2 linked regions of the Pelodiscus sinensis genome follow. The protein of the gene in region 2 purifies or fractionates together with the protein of the main gene of each other region. This does not show direct contact. Links are inferred from orthologs where the notes say so. Each region holds a gene or a part of one and is shown on either strand. Other genes may lie near its edges. The genes, in order: PRKACB and AKAP5.

Region 1 (8,258 bases), on a different chromosome or scaffold from region 2:
ACACAAAACAAAAAGTAGTCAATATGCATTTTTGGAGTTAAATTCCTGGACTGTCATTGCTCATTAAAAGTGTTGTCATGGGTGGAATTCGGGAAAATATTTCATTTTATTAATATCAGCAGAACTGACTTAAATGGGGCCTGCGTGTTGTGTAGTCATGCCTTAAACTTTGTATTCATGCCTGTCAGTGTGATAGAAGCTATTTACATATATATTTGCATTTATATGCAACTTTGCATATAAGTTGCGGCCCTCGGCATGTGCAGTCAATTATCAGTGTGCCCCTGGGGCTTCCAAAGTTGAGTAGCCCTGACTTAAAGCAAGGTTAAGTGTTTAGCTGTATCAAGACAATGGGGTTTGCCTGAAATATGACTGTTTCTCATAAATTCAAAGGGATGAGTCTGCTAGCAGGCACAGTTTATACTTCAGAATGAACTCGGAGGAGTGGGAAAACTGGTAAGAGACTGGTTGAGTAGGGCGAGACTCTAGATCAGGGGTGGGCAAAAGGGCCTCCTCAGGCTGAATCCGGCCAGCCAAGCGGGTGGATCCAGCCCGCAGAGGCCCTGTTGCTCCACCGCCCCCAGGCCAATTAGGACCTGGGGGCGGGGGAGTGCACGAAGTCTTCTCCCACTGCCAGGGGCATTGGTGCCTAGGGATAATCTCTGGGGGCGGAGGGGGGGGGGAAGCAAAGACTTCACCTGCTCCCCTGCCCTCAGACCAATCTGTGGGTAGGAAAGCGGGGAAGTATCGTGGCCCTGCTGTCACAATGATTTGTGACACCGCCCCTTCCAGTTGAGGCCCTGCTCCTTCCGGTGCAGCCAGGGGCCCCTTCAAAAATTTCTGAAATGGCCCCCAGTAAAAAATTATTGCCCACCCCTGGTTTAGCTCAACTTGCTTTTAAATATCTTCAGTGATGGCAATTCCACAACCTCCCTATGCATTTATCCCAGTTTTAATCACGCTGACTGTTAGGAAGTTTTTCATGTGTTGATGAGCCAGCATGGCTCCCTCTGTCCCACCAAGCAGCCGGGAACCTCCTTCAATTCCCCTCTCCCTCCCCAACATATGCCCCCCCCATACCTCTCAATTCCCTGCCATGACTTCTGCACCCTCCACTTCCCACCCTAAGCCCCTCCTCTGACCCAACCCTGACTCCTACAACCCCCAATTTCAAGCCCTGAGCCCCTTCATACCTCCAGTCCTGACTCCTACAACCTCCCCATCCCACTACTCCAGCCCCCTTCCCTGAACCCCTACTTAATGACCCTACTTAAAATCATGAGTGGTGTGGAGAGGGCCGATAAAGAAAAGTTATTTATTGGTTCCCTAAATAGAAGAACTAGAGGACACTAAATGAAATTAATGGGTAGCAGGTTTAAAACTAATAAAAGAAAGTTCTTCTTCACGCAGCCTGTAGTCAACCTGTGGAACTCCTTGCCAGAGGAGGCTGTGAAGGCTAGGACTATAATAGAGTTTAAAGAGAAGGTAGATAATTTCATGGAGGTTAGGTCCATAAAAGGCTATTAGCCAGGGGATAAAATGGTGTCCTTGGCCTCTGTTTGTCAGAGGCTGGAGAGGGATGGCAGGAGACAAATTGCTTGATCATTGTCTTCAGTCCACCCTCTTTAGGGCACCTGGTGCTGGCCACTGTCGGCAGACAGGATACTGGGCTAGATGGACCTTTGGTCTGACCCAGTACGGCCATTCTTATGTTATGACCCAAGTAACACTGGGTAAATGTGCTAGCAAATAATAAGACAATACATTCATTCCCTCCCTCCCCCCTATATATATTACATATAGTAGAGATTTGTGTGTCTTGTTCTGTGAGTCCATTTGTTTAAGAACTCCTCCTAAACATTAACAGCTAAGACCACCAAATTTGGTATGCAGCTTTTTTCTCTTATCCTAACTTAAAGCAAATTCATGGTTTGGTTGTGCAAGAGAACAGGATGTGCCTGGAATTTGACTGTTTTCCATTATATAGAAAAGGAGGGGGCTGTTCAGAGAGACACAATACTGCAGAATGAGCACTGGGGGCAGTGAGCACAGGGAACAGCTATACTGCAGAGTGACCACTTGGGGAAGCCGCACCAGGAAGGAGGTTGCCAGCTGGAGACAGGGCTTGCCTTCTTGCTGGACAATGAAGGTGGCACCTCTTCCCCACTGCTCCCCCCAGCCCCCAACACTACACCGGGGAGAGGGAGAAGCTCTGCTGGTCCCACTATCATAACTCTCCCCCCCACAAGCGCCACCAGGGATGCGCAGCACATCCTTCCCCCCCCCCGCTCTCCCCTCCCCCACACGGGCCACAGCCAAACCCCTCCCCCATTCCCCAGTACTGCATGGCTGCCCTACATGGTCACGCCCAGCCAGCCCGCACAGCCCCTCCTCCCCAACCTTGGACTGGGGAACACCACAGGAGCTGGACTGCACAGCCCCCTTCCCATTCCCGGGCCCAGAGTGCGCTGGCAAGGGGCCTCTGTGGTGCCTCACCCTCTCCAACCCCAGGCTGGACACAAATTCCTAAATAACTTATTTGTTTTACAGTAGAGTATGTACACAGCAGTGATAACCAGTTTGATCTCATTAACTTTGTTATTTTTTGGCTTGAATTATGAACTCTGAATATTTTGTGTGTTTTAGAAAGTAAGGGGGGGCATGCACCTGGTTGAGCCCTATTTCTGATCATACATATTTTCTACAATATAAATAAAATTGCACTCACGAATTAAGATTATAAAATTAAAGTGATAGATAACTAGTGGTATAAATCAAAATTAATACACTGCATTAATCTGAAATAGTAAACAATGAATTTATGCTCTAGTTTTAGTGTTCAAATTACCACAAAATGGATTATGAAATATCTAATAAAAATTAAATGACACTATAATTTTTTAAAAGATGTCATGTAATTAACCCCCCAGTCAGCATAACATAATATCCACCCTTCCAAAATTAAAGACAAAGAAAACCCACAATTTTAAACAAGTAAATTATCTACTGTTGCTAAAACTATCTAATTTAGATCTGGAATACTGGGAAGAAAAGCTTACAAAAAACACAGAAATTAAGTTAACAACACTTGTCTAAGAAAAAGGAAGCTCACATATGAAACTCTGTTACCAGACACCAAGTCCCTGTGAAAGAGTATCAAATTTCCACCTGCATGTTGCAATAGCTCTTGCTTTAAAGCTACATTTACTGTTACACTATAAAAAGGCTGATAGAATTTACAGTAGTTTTGTCTATTTACTACATAAAATCTTTTAATTACCATAAAAACTGAATATTAAATATCTACAGTACACTTACTTGATCTGTCCCATAGGGCAGCAAGTTCAGAGAAATGATGGCTCTCATTTTCCAGAGCCACTTTCTGTTCTTGTAAACTACCCTTAGAGTGCCTATGAAAAAGTCGGTTAGCAAACCCTTCAAGTCTCTGCAAAGCAGTGGATGTCCCTGTGCACTGGTTACAAGATAGTTCCCGCTGCGCTGCCATCTATATTCATTGATAATTTACTTTAAAAAACATTAGACAATCTATAAAGGAGCTCAAACAACTTAAACAGAAGCTAGGAACTTATGCATGTGTCAAACTTCCTGAATGCAGTGTTTCTAACCACTACTGCTGTTCTGCTTCCTGTTAATACAAAACAGCACGTTATGGTGCTTTTCTTAGCAAAACTCTGTTGTATCTGCTAAAGGTGGCGGTTAAAAGAGCTGTAATAGTTGTCTTAAACTCTGAGTTTAACAACTTTTTTCATATAAAAAAACACATGACAATGAAAATACACAACTGCATGTGATATAAAGTGAAGGAAAAAATCAGAATACAGATAAAATTTAAAAATAGCTCCCATAAACATCCATCAACTAAAAAGTATCCCTACATTTTTTTTACAACAGTACAATTTTCTAAGCAAGAAGGTTAACTTGTTAAAACAAATGATGTTTTATGGTAAATAAAAATTAACAAAGTTACCACTTTTGTCCTTTTACATTTAGAAAGCCATAATGGAGTAAGCTAAAGAATAGTTCTTGTGTAACAAGAAGCCAGATTCTGCCAACCTTACTCATGCTGAGTTTTAGCTTCCTCCAAATGTCTATCAACAAGTCAGTGGGGCCACTTACTGAGTAAGGTAACATCCAGTCCTTAATAAAGAAATATATCCATTTTCCAACCATCCCAGAAGAAAAACAGAAGGCAATGGAGAAGATGTAATTAGCTTGCAATTGTATACATTTAATATATCTGGGAATATCTAGCAGTAAGTTGTACAGTGATCATCATAGTTCTCCTCTTAATCATTTCCACCTATTTAGGAGGCCTGCTATTAGGGACACAAAATCCCATTTAAAATGTTAACCAGTTAAACGATGTTTAACCACTTCAGAAGAGTAGCTGAGTTAGTCTGTAACTGGAAAAACTTAAAAGACAATGAATAGTATAGCAGCACCTTAAAAACTAACAAAACATGTAGATGATATCATGAACTTTCAAGGGTACAACCCACTTCTTCAGATGAATGGAGTTTAAGGTCCAGTTCCAAGATAAACAGGAGACTGGGGGCAAGGAGAAGGAGGGGAAAAGGAGGGAAAAAGTCAATAAAAGTATCCATGTTACAAGAAGCTGAGAAAAACAATTTGCACCTGCTCTAAGTACCCGTTTGTTTTTTTAAGTCATTAGGATGTGGAAGGTAGTGTGCTAGGCAGGTAATGTCTTTATTCATACCTTTGTGATGGGTCCCAAACCTGTAAATCAGGGCAACTCAATACAGCCAGGTCCCTGCAGGGGGCGCCTGGTCCCTGCAGCATGGCAGGCCTGGTGCAGCCCAGTGGGGGCTGCTCCAGTTGGGCTCAGCAGGACCTATTACACTGTTTCCTGGGTGTGCTCCATCCTGGCCAGCCCTGGGGCTCCACAGCATGAGTCTGCTCTGACCTTGATGGGCTGGAATGCCCCCCAGGAGGCTGGCCGGGTGTGAAGCTGCCCAATTAACCAGTTACCTGTTTACATCCTTAGGTGCTATCAATCCTCTATCTCTGCACCTGATCCCTATCAACCTGTTGCTGGGACTTCACCCATCTCCCCACCATGAGAATTAAGGGAGATGGAAAAGGAACACGGTGCGGGGGAATTCATTCTCCGCTGTACCCGTCCATAACACATACTTGCACTGGACATCTGCCACATTTGTTAATTATTACGTTGCAATATTTTGACCCAAATTAGCCTAGGCTACCAGGCCCTGACCTGCTGTGGGTAAAGTAAAACACAAAAGAACAATCCATTTTGGCCAATTGGGCACTGAGAGAAAAATCCCTTCCCAGCCCTTAAGAAAAAGGTTACTCATAGCAGATTAGGAAAAAATCCATTTGTGGGAGGGCACGGGCAACTAAGATCTAATGCAGTGAGAGAAGACTTCTCCAGAACTTCCCAGGGTATAAATACTTCCTCCTCCCACCTGATTACACCCTCTCACTTGTGGTGAAACCACCTTCTGTTCTTCTATGCTTTGTCAAGGTCAACTTTTTCCCTCTCTACCACCAATTGTACATGGGAGAGGGGCACTGCATTGTATATTGGCCAAATACATAAGGGTATGTCTACACTACCCCGCTAGTTCGAACTAGCGGGGGTAATGTAGTCATCCGCACTTGCAAATGAAGCCCGGGATTTGAATGTCCCGGGCTTCATTTGCATGAAGCCGGCCGGCGCCATTTTTAAATGCCGGCTAGTTCGGACCCCGTGCCGCGCGGCTACACGCGGCACAGACTAGCTAGTTCGGATTAGGCTTCCTAATCCAAACTAGCTGTACACCTCGTTCCACGAGGCATACAGCTAGTTCGGATTAGAAGCCTAATCCGAACTAGCTAGTCCGTGCCACGTGTAGCCGCGCGGCACGGGGTCCGAACTAGCCGGCATTTAAAAATGGCGCCGGCCGGCTTCATGCAAATGAAGCCCGGGAAATTCAAATCCCGGGCTTCATTTGCAAGTGCGGATGACTACATTACCCCCGCTAGTTCGAACTAGCGGGGTAGTGTAGACATACCCTAATATATATACACACACAACAAAGGATAAATAGACAAGTCAGATATCAGAAATGGCAATACACGCAAACCCGCAGGAGAACATTTTAATCTACCTGGACACTCATTAATGGATTTAAAATATTCTACAAAGAAATTTCAAAAACCAACACCACAGAGAGAGTGCAGAACTGGCCTTCATATGCAAGTTTGACGCTGTTTCTCATGGCTTGAACAAAGACATTAACTGGATGGGCCATTATAAAATCTGCTTTCCTAACATTCAACACTCAAGTGACATAAAAAGTTAAGTATGGGAGAAGGATGTTAAATTGCAGTTATCTGGCTAATCATGTAGTTGATAAAATTTGTATCAACTATAAGATTAGTCGATAAGGGGCACTCTGTAGAGCCATAGCAAGGGTAGCTCCTGGAGCTGGGACTGACCAGCCCTAGCCACCACAAACTGAGTCTGCTCCAGCCACTGTAAACAGGGGTTGCTTGGCAGCAGCAGCCCCTGTCTGCGGGCAGGCCCCAGTTCCCCAATGAGACCCCTGCGAACAGGGGCTTCTGCCAGAGTAGCCTCCCCTATCCTCACCCTGCTACCTCTGATAGGGACAACGGAGGAAGGGGGTAGGTGGCACCCCAGAGACTAGTCAAGTAGTAAACTACTCACTAGCATCCCTAGTATGGGACACTTCCAGTCCACTCAATTAGCCTCTTTAGCACCAGCACTACAACTGATAGGTCCTTTCCCCTCACCCTTCTTTTTCTGTCAAACTGTGAGGGTCCCCTTTTCTCTCCACTCTGCTCTGCTCATCTGAGCAAGTGGGTTTTGCAAACAAAACCTCGTGTCTGTCTCTCTCTCTTGCAAAAATTTTCCTGTGGGACAATAGTGACATCATCACATCACTCTGCATTGTCCCCCACCCCCAGCCTTGGCAGTCTCTGAAGGGGAAGAGATGGCCATGGCTCAGAGTTCTGCCCTGGCCTCTCCTTGGGGACCCCCTGGGCTCCTTGCTGGCCTCCTGGTTCCCCTGCAGGTGGGTTAGGGAGAAGCGGCAGCTCCAGCTCCCCCCTTTGCCTCTCGCTTCTGAGCTCTGGCTTCCGTGGCCCAGCACCTCCTACCCCAACTCCCAGGGAACTTCTGCTGCCTGCCTCAGGATGTGTGCTTGGGCTACCGCCTGCCTGGCGCTCCAGACTCCACTGGCTTCCTGTGGGGGGTCAAAGGGGAGAGAAAGCCCCACAACTCTGTGCTGGATCTGGCTTGCGGGGAAGCATGCGCACTGCTGCTTCCCTTTCCCCTCCCCGGCTGGTGCACCTATGAACTTGTTGGAGGCTTTTCCCGCTACTCAGACAGCTGCAGGTAAAGCCTCTGGTGCCTGGAAGCAGCATGCCACATGAAAACAAGTAAGAGCCCCTGCAGCCTTGGCCCTGTCTCCCCAGTGCCTCACACGTTCCCTCCCCTGCCAAGCCTCACACTCCCTGCCTGCTCCTGCCTCCTATCCCCAGCCGTCACCCTGCCCCCAACCTACTCCTGCCCCCTCTGCCAAGCCAGACTCCCTGCCCAATTGGGGCCTAACCCCCTTCTGGCCACCGCATCCTGTCCCTGGCCCCAATACTGGGGTAGGGCCTGCGGTCCAGCCACCATCTGGCTGCAGGAAGGGTTGGTGGTAGTCCCCCTCCTGCTGAGGCATGGGCAGGAGAGGAGGCCACGATGTGGCTGCAACAGAGTGAGGTTGGCAAGTATAATAAGCAGGCAGTACAGCCCCCTAGTGATACTATATATATATATATATATATATATATATATATATATATATATATATATATATATATAATGTTAGTCTCTAAGCTGCTACAGGACCACTCGTTTTTTTACTGATACAGTAACTCCTCGCTTAACATGTGCCCGCTTAACACGTTTTCGTGATAGCATGATTTTTTTTGGGAACATTTTTCAAACAACATGACCCGTCCCCGCAATAACATGATTTTCCCTAGGGCCAGCCGGTGGCCGGCAGCTGAGAAAGGCTTTCTCTGCAAAGCGGCACAGGTTCTTCACTCGCTGTGCTGTTCCCCACCGACCCGTTCTGGCCGGATGCTTTGTTCCCTCTCCTCTGCCCCCCCCCGCTTGCAGCGGGCAGCTGAATTTCCCCAGCTGGCTGGTCACTGGCAGCTGTGCAGGGCTTACCCTGCCTCCAGAGGTTCTCTGCGCCATT
Region 2 (8,594 bases):
GGGTCCCACCTGCCCCGGGGAGCATCCCTGGGCTGCCACGCGCCCCGCGCCCCCCGGGCAGGCCAAGGTGGAGTGAGCAGCGGCTAGTTTTGTCCCTGGGGACGGAGCAGGAGGGAAGGGCTGCTTTTAGCACCCCAGCCCATGTCAGTGCCAAGCAGGGGGTCTGGGAGAGACACTCCCCTCCCTGACCGGCAGCCCTGGCTCCTCCACGAAGCTGGGCAATAGGACAAAGGCTATTTCAGAACTGTGTGTCAGGACCCTGGCTCCCAGTGTGGGCAAGGAATGAGCCAGGACAATCTGCAGCATCCCCTCCTTGATGCCGTCTCATTCTCCAGCCCAGGGCTGGACGGCCTATATTAGTAAGTGGGCTGCATCATGGTCCTATTTCATCGCTGTGGGCCACAAAATTGTCATAGTTAAGATGGTCTCCTGGGATAGTAAGCAAAGCTACCCTGCGCTTGCATATCTAGAATTTGCAGTGTGCGCAGACTGAATGGGAGCAGTGCTTTGGATGCAGAGAGAATGGGTGTCTTTCACAGTCAATGCTGTGCAAACAGCCTGCACTTCATTTCACATACCTTTGCTTTATGTGCACATCACTTTAGTAATACCCATAGGAAAACTATGTGGACAGAAACCAGCAGAATCTGGCAAGCATGCACGGGGGCACTAGTGAACAACCACACCCTGAACTGTGAGGGACCGCTGGTTTCCCACCACTGCTCTAGTATCTAAGCTTCAAACTTATGTATATCTCCTGCTGGTAGGGTTGCTGAGATGGCCCTGCAAATAGGAATCAAGTGCAACTGATGCACTACATGAAACCACATTCCGAGAGCTGTGAATTCCCCATTAGCCTCAACAGGGGATTAACTGCTGCCCACTGATAACTCATCAGAGCATGTATTTTAAATTAAGAAATGAGAGGGAGGAGCATATTTCAAACAGCTGCACAGTCTGTACAGTTGCCTAATGCGGGTAAGGCTTAGATTTTTTTTTTAAAAAAACCCTCTTTTTAGCCTCCTATTAGCTCTTTTTATTATGGAGTAATATTAGTGGGCCCAGGACAGAATCCAGCCCAGTCCTTAGCTGAAATGCTCACTAGTAAGATGATGGAGACGTAAAGCAAGCACAGAGTGCTCATAATGGATGCATTTTTCTTGGAATTCCATTTGCCATTTTCATGCAGTAGGTTTAGTAATATACATTTAGCATAGTAGCATCCCACTGATCCTGATTTCAAAAACGGTTACTGCTTGTTAGGGCACAAATGTGAGTCTACAAACTCCTTGGTCTAATACCCTTCATAATTATCTGGGGTGGGATCTGGGTTCAAATTATAACACATTTCCACTTCCTTGTAGCTCAGTGATGCCTGTTAGTGCTAAGGTTTATTGAGTAGGCAGCAAGAATAAGGATTAGAGAGAACATGAGGCAACAAAGGCATAGGATCACTAATTCAGGTATATCACTTCCAGTTTAAATACCCTGTATTTGGAATACTGTTCCTCATCCAGCTTCAGAGCATGACAACAATGCAAAGGGAATAATTTGCCGGAGGATCAGAGATTGCTGTGGATGGGCATGGTTTCAAAACCAATGGTTCAGAGCAAGCTTTCTTGCTTGCATGAGGGTCTTGGTGACACAAGGTGTGGGGTATAGAGATGTAAAATACCAATTTAAACATGTTTAACCATTTAAGAATGCCCTCCTACCCATTATGCCCAGGCTGAAGCACCCCCTCCCCTCCAGCTCCCACTAGTTAACCAGAACTGGTAAGTATCACATGTTAAGGGTGATGCTTACCGGTTACCCACTAGGGATGTGAAAGGTTAAGCTTATTTCTGTTCTGAGAAAGGCTTTGACGACATGGAAACCCTACCTCAGTCCATGCTGCTGGCCAACATTTTGCAAAATTAAGTGACATTAGATCATGTTACAGAAGGATCTGTCCACATATCATAACATTTAGGATAGCTAAGGGCATGAGAACATGTAGTGCTTCAAATCCACAAATTCAGTGGAGAATGAATGCTATGACCTGTCACTAGATGAAGGATACTCTCACTAACATTGGCTACCTCTCATAAAAAAATTACTTTCAACCAGTCCTTGTCCAAGAGGGACATAGCAAGCTTCTGGTTTTTAAATAAAGGCTGTACAAAAGAACTGGAAGGGCATTTGTGGGGGCTGGGAGATGAAAGGAACAAGATACAATTGGTAGAATGGAAGATAACCAGACATGAGAAGAAAGTAGTATTATGTGTAGAAGCTGACATGACAGAGCCTATGATTCTGTTTATTCTGGTTCCAGAAGTGGCCTGTACAGGATATGCCTTAGCAGGCCCACACCTCTTTGTTTACCTTAGCCACAGAGCCTCACATTGGCTTTAGTTTGCCATTTCCTGCAGCTCCTTGTGTCTGCAAACGGTGAATTGGAGCCAATGGGAGGTGAGAGGCTCTGTGACTAAGGTAAACAAAGTGGCGTGGGCCAAAGCAAGCCCACAGCTCACTTCAAGAAGTACTGCCTTAGATGAAGAAGCACCTAAGGTGGCTAGCCAGAGGCACTGTTATATATGGGGAGACAATCCTTCTTGACCTCATGCAAGTGGTCTGCTTATGCCCTGAAGATTGATTGGCAATAGCTGTTCTAACTGAATGATATTATATAAAGGAAAATTTAAATGCAACTCGGGGCTCTTATGACAACTTAAGTTATTCTAACTTCACTCTTGTGACAGCCATGTAATTGTTACATAATTATTCTCCTCACTAGCTTGCTATATATAGTGTGTGTGTATCACAGATAAGCCTGTGTACTGGTGCATACACCTACATCAACTCTTCTCCCAGTCAGAGCAATTCTTTAACATATGTTAGGTCAAGATCAAACACAAGCATATGGGCCTTGCAGTTTTATGTAGAAACAATTATCCAAAATTTTTTTTTGCTGTTTGCATGGGCAAGTTATTCTAGTCAATTGATAAATCAAAAGAATTGATTGTCTCACTTCACCACAGTCGTCAGTGAGTACATCTAAATCCACTGAATAATTCAGGTAATTATTATCCTACAGGTGACATGCCGTCCCAGAAAAGGAAGCTGGATTAAACCTACACACAGTGGAGCACTGCAGACTCAACAGTATTACTGTACTGCAATATTCACTTTTACTTGTCAATACTGGGATCACTGCTGTGAACATTCCTCCCAATTCATCATCATAAAACTTTTACTTCATTAATCTCAATGCACATATTAAAACCCAGGGAATCCTAGAAAGATTTTAGCAATTTATTTGTGTTAATTACATTTTCACATTATTAAATGATGTTTTGGACTATTGCGACAAATCCATTACAGGCTATTTGATTTAGTGCTTGTGTGGTCTTTGTTCACCAAAAAAGGGATTTCAAGAACCAAAAATAGTTTAATCATTTACAAAATTCATCCTTGCTCATCAGATAGCTATTAAAAACCGCATATAGAACAAATGTCTATCCCCAGACATAGCATGCAGGGCTAGTCTCCAAAAAAAGGCAAATTGTGTATGTTCCACTTCCATTAACAATTCAGTAGGTAACATGAGAAAACATAGATCATCCCAGGGCTTTTTAAAGAGAAGACTAGATACAGTACAGGTGCCCACAAGAAAAATTCAAAGCAAAGCAGAAACCAATGGTCAAAAGCTTTCAGGGAAGAACAGAAACAAAGACATTCTTCCCTACTGCCTACTTTTCATTTAATTAGTATGCTCTGATAAGGCACTATTTTCTCTTTTAGAGCTAGCAATGAATTATAGAATGAAATGCAGTAGAAAGATACAGTGCACAGACTTTCTAAAACACATTTCAAAACAACCAATTAAGCCCTGGACTGTGGTAAACACTATATCAATAAAGAAACCATAATGTTATTGTTACATTTTAATAAGTAACAATCACAGAGCTAGGAAGAGGGTATTAAAAACAGGTTTGCTCTGACATTATGAAGGGTAAAAGCAATAGGTTCATGAAAGCAATATAATTAAAAAACATCACATATGTAAGATTTAAGTTCTTATCCTTACTGAACTAAAAGACTGAAATAAAATATTTTTTTAAAACTATTCAGATTAAAAAAATAAATGTATATAGTTCATTCATTTCCAAATGCCCCTTTCTCCCAGTCACTTCAGGTATTGCCATATATTATTTTGTCTTAAATCAGGATACAACTGAGTTTGCACTGCTCATCAAGTAATCTTCTGGTAGCTATAAAGAAAAATGAAAACTTAATTACCAACAGATATACAGAAAACAAAGGCAAATTTTAGGAGGAACTACAACCAAATGCCCTTTGAAAACATAGAGCTTCATAATTAGATCTGAGTATATTCCTTTTCAGTTGGAAAAATATAAACCAAATATTTGCAAGGCTTCTAGCTCAAATAAGAGACTTACCTTTGGTTAACATTTGTTTTCAGAACAGCCCGTTCACCTGTTCTGACACTGGATCCAAGTCTATATCATAGAAACAGGGGCGAGTAGGAAGTCCTGGCATAGTACTCATCTGGTGGACAGAAGGGAAAAGTATATTAGTGGACAGAGCCTGGGTTTGGGGTTGTGAGCTGGTTTTGGCTCTTCCATTGACTCAGTGTGACTTTGTGCAAATGGTTCAGCAAAGCACTTAAGCATGCGCTGAAATTTAAGCATGTGCCTATTTCCACTGACTTCAGTGGAACTACTGAAGTTTGACTGCATGAGACAATAACTGTGCCACAATTTCCGTTAGTGAGACAGGGATCTCAATACCTCACAGGAATGTTGTGAGGCCTTCAAGTATATCTGCACCTCACCTGCATGCAAAAATTCCAGTTGAAGTGATGCAGCTGTACTGGCTCTGAAGGAGCGAGACGACTAGAACAGAGTATAGAATGGTGGTAGTCATCATGAGAACATTACTTATCCAAGAGAAACATGGCTAGTCTCTCTTTCTGCTGTGCTTACACTCTATTTTTAGCCCACTAGATCTGATTAAGCTAATATGGTTGTCTCTCCTCAAGCTGGAATCTGTACCTCCCACTCACAGTATACATATACACATTTCAGAAATGCTCTGAGAGCCCAGGATTAAAAGCACTACCTAGTTGGCCCAGTACTGGCTTTAAAAAGAGATGGAATTTTCTGACTAAAAAGATAGAAGCTGGACTTGAACTGACGAGGGGACAGTTCCACTGGATAAAACAGCCAGTCACTTTAAACTGTATGAAAGTTCTGAGAGCCATTTTAGATCACAAGAGGTGCACTGGCCAAAGTAGGGTAGCTCACACTACATCGACCTAAACAACGTCTCCTCAAGCCAACGCCATCACTTGTTCAGCTGTCAAGCACCAACATTTATAAATCCATAGAGTATAAGGCTGGAAGGAGCCATTAGATCTCCTAGCCAGACCTCCTATAGCAGACAAGCCTTAGAACCTCACCCATATTACTTCCCATACTGAGCCCAGTAATTTAAGTTTGACTAAAGTGTATCATGCAGAAAGACAGCCTATTTTGACTTAAGAGACCCGAAGAGATGGAGAATCTACTTTTTCCCTTGTCAGTTTGCCCCGATGGTTAATCATCCTCAGTATAAAAATGTGTGTCTATGTTTTAATTTGAACTTGTCTGTCTTTGAGCTTCAGGGGGTATCCAATTAGTCTGTTGCAGAAAAAAAACAGCAAACAAATGGCCTGGTAGAACTTTATCGACTAACAAAACATGTAGATGGTATCATGAGCTTTCGTGGGCACAGCCCACTTCTTCAGATATTTCCACTACATCCGCATCTGGATATTTTCACTACATACATCTGACGAAGTGGGTCTTTGCCCACGAAAGCTTATGCTCCAATACATGTTAGTCTATAAGGTGCAACAGGACTCCTTGTCACTTTTTCAGATCCAGACTAACACAGCTACCCCTCTGATATTTGATAGGGATGTTAGCTATCGGGTATTTGTGTAAACATGCAGCCACTGGAAATTAAGTGAAGGTGTGGGGTGTTTTCTGTAACGTAAGCACTGCAAAAACAAAGAACGCAGAGAGTGATACCACTGTTTAGCTATCCCAAAATAAACCACAGAGCTGCACTGAATTCACTCACAGGATTAAAAATAGCCCAAAACAACAAACAACAGAAGGCCCAACAATCAAACACCTATTAGATATTACATTGTAAAATTTTCAAAAGCACTTCGTAACAACCTATTTTCATTCAGATAGCTGCATCTCACTGAATGTCCATGGGGCTTTAGCTCCTAGATCACACAAGTGCTTTTGAAAATTTCACCCACATCAAAGTACTTATCTGGCCCAGCATTTTATTATAAAGGCAGTGGTCCTCAAACTTTTAACCCTTACCCCATCCATGTTCCCTCCCCGTCAACAGCCACGTCAGAGCTGGGGCTGGGAGTGGAGCCACGGCTGGGGCCGAGACCAGAGCTGAGAGCCAAGATTAGTGGGAGCAAGGCCAGGAGTGGAGCTATGTCCAAGGGCTAAGGCTGAAGCCATAGCCAGGAGCAGAGCAGCTGGGGCCACGTGCAGAGCCACAGCCAGGCTGGGAGACCTGGCCAAAGCTGGGGCCACAGCTGAAGCCAGAAGTAGAGCCACACTCCAGAGCAAGGCCCACAGCTGGGGGTGGGGAAACTGCAGAACCATGGCAGGGAGCTGCAGCAGAGCTTAGGGCAGAGTGGGGTTAGCTGGCACTCTCTTCCCACCTCCCCATGAGGGTTGGCCTGATCCCCTCTGTGCCCCGAATGTTCCTTCAAGTCCCTCAGAGTTCGGGGACGACTGATCAATCTCATGGTACGCCTACACAAAAACTAGACACAGGGCTGTTTAACTGAAGTGTAAGCATTTAGACTCACCCTGTGAGGTGCTTGACCTCTTGAGCCCAAGTCAAGCAGCACAGGCTACTAGCAGGTTTTTAATCGTACAGTCTGAAGTCTGCATTCCCCAAAGCTGGACCCTGCAATTGTGTCCCCTCTACAGTTGCTTGGGTTTGGTGGATGCATACAGAAGAGTGATCTGGGGATTGTAGGATCAGGACCAAAATCATACAATTTCCTATGAATCCTGATGTCTCTTATTAGAGTTAATGTCCTGCCCAAAAAGTACTTTAGACATTTGGAAAAGCATAATGTATGACTATGCAGGACTGATGCCATGGGAGAAAAAGCCAGTTCTATTCGGCTTTAATTTCTGAAAACACCCCTGTCCCTAATACATTTGATCTAAGATACCGTATGCCATAGTTCACCAACTCACCAAAAGTCACTGGATTAAATTCTGTGTTGCTTGGAATAGATGTATCAAATGATCGGAAAAGGCTCAATTTACTTTTCAATTTGTCCCAAACACACAGTACTCCCACTTGCAACAAAAAGGGATAGTGCTTTACATACCCCATACACTCAGAGGAAGCACGTTTATAGGTCTTCTAACAGCATCTGCTCAAACAGGACTAGATTCCTCCCCTCCACATTTTCAGGGATTCCTTTAACTCAGATGTTATTTTCTTGGACATGACTGTTTTGTACCTCTCCTTCATTCTGTGCTGTTTACATCAGCCATTTAGTGTCCTGATAACATCAGATTCCTCAACAGATCTTATTCCCACCATGATCAGCCTTCTTCTCTAAATCTGCCACTTCTGTTGGCACAGTAATTAGTTCAGCACGTATGTCTGTCTTTATTGCCTTGAACATCATTAAGAGTATCTTCTGTTCTCTCTCAACTATGGAGACCTTCAGCATCATCCTGCCTTAATCATCAAAGTGGGCCTCTCTCTTGCAGCTGAGATCAGCAGGTTTTCGTTTAGTTTCCTGCCAAGTTTCATTTCCAACTGGTGTTTTCTGAGGAGGAATCTATTTCACACCTGAAGAACCCGATTTCACTGGAGTGCCAATGAAAATTGGGGTTCTAACTCTACTCCTGGACAGATCTCACCTGCAGCTGATGTCACCTCTTTTCTTATATGCAGTTTTTATTGCTATCATTTTTTCTTCCGGACAAAACAAACAATTTACAGTGTCTGGATCTAGCTTAATGAATTTAATGGAGCTCAAGTTTGAGAAAACTAAATACAATGCCTATGATTTAGCTTTGTTCACAAGGCACCAACACTGTTTCCATGTCTGTAAGTAGCAATTATGCTACTGGGGAATCAGTGAACTTAAAGATGTTCTAAGAATCAAATTGTTGAGCATGCCTGAGCTACAAAAAATTAACTGAAGTCTCATTAAAGTCTAACCCAGGAAGGCCACAGCAGAATGGTGACAATATTACTCTTTGAGGATGCACAGAGAAACTAGTTTTCAATATATATTTATTAAACTTCAGGGACTGTTTGCTCCTAGGTAAATAGATGTTTTTAAAGGAACATTCAGCAGTTTAGGGAGGCAGGCAATTCCTTGCTCATCATGACTGACTTTGTTTACTCTTTTACTTGGCGTTAAAATTCAATAACTTTTAAAAGATTTCCTCCAACATAAGAAATATAGTTACAATGAAATGATTAATATTCAAGCCTACAAATCTAAAACACTACTCATCATTTCAACTGTACTA

The links.
Region 1: the proteins of AKAP5 (region 2) and PRKACB purify together in Homo sapiens (affinity purification with mass spectrometry; 4 studies listed by BioGRID and IntAct, counting the BioPlex papers as one, with this or other methods). This does not show direct contact. The link is inferred for Pelodiscus sinensis from reciprocal best matches to the Homo sapiens genes AKAP5 and PRKACB.

What each region holds. Positions count from the first base shown.
Region 1 is NC_134719.1:29,278,201-29,286,458, reverse strand, and holds the start of PRKACB (cAMP-dependent protein kinase catalytic subunit beta), read right to left. Parts: upstream 3,602-8,258; 5' UTR 3,506-3,601; coding exon 3,319-3,505; intron 1-3,318. UniProt on the Homo sapiens protein: Mediates cAMP-dependent signaling triggered by receptor binding to GPCRs.
Region 2 is NC_134714.1:15,758,669-15,767,262, reverse strand, and holds the start of AKAP5 (A-kinase anchor protein 5), read right to left. Parts: upstream 3,163-8,594; 5' UTR 1-3,162. Other genes in the region: MTHFD1 (C-1-tetrahydrofolate synthase, cytoplasmic), read right to left, coding at 4,462-4,551. UniProt on the Homo sapiens protein: Multivalent scaffold protein that anchors the cAMP-dependent protein kinase/PKA to cytoskeletal and/or organelle-associated proteins, targeting the signal carried by cAMP to specific intracellular effectors.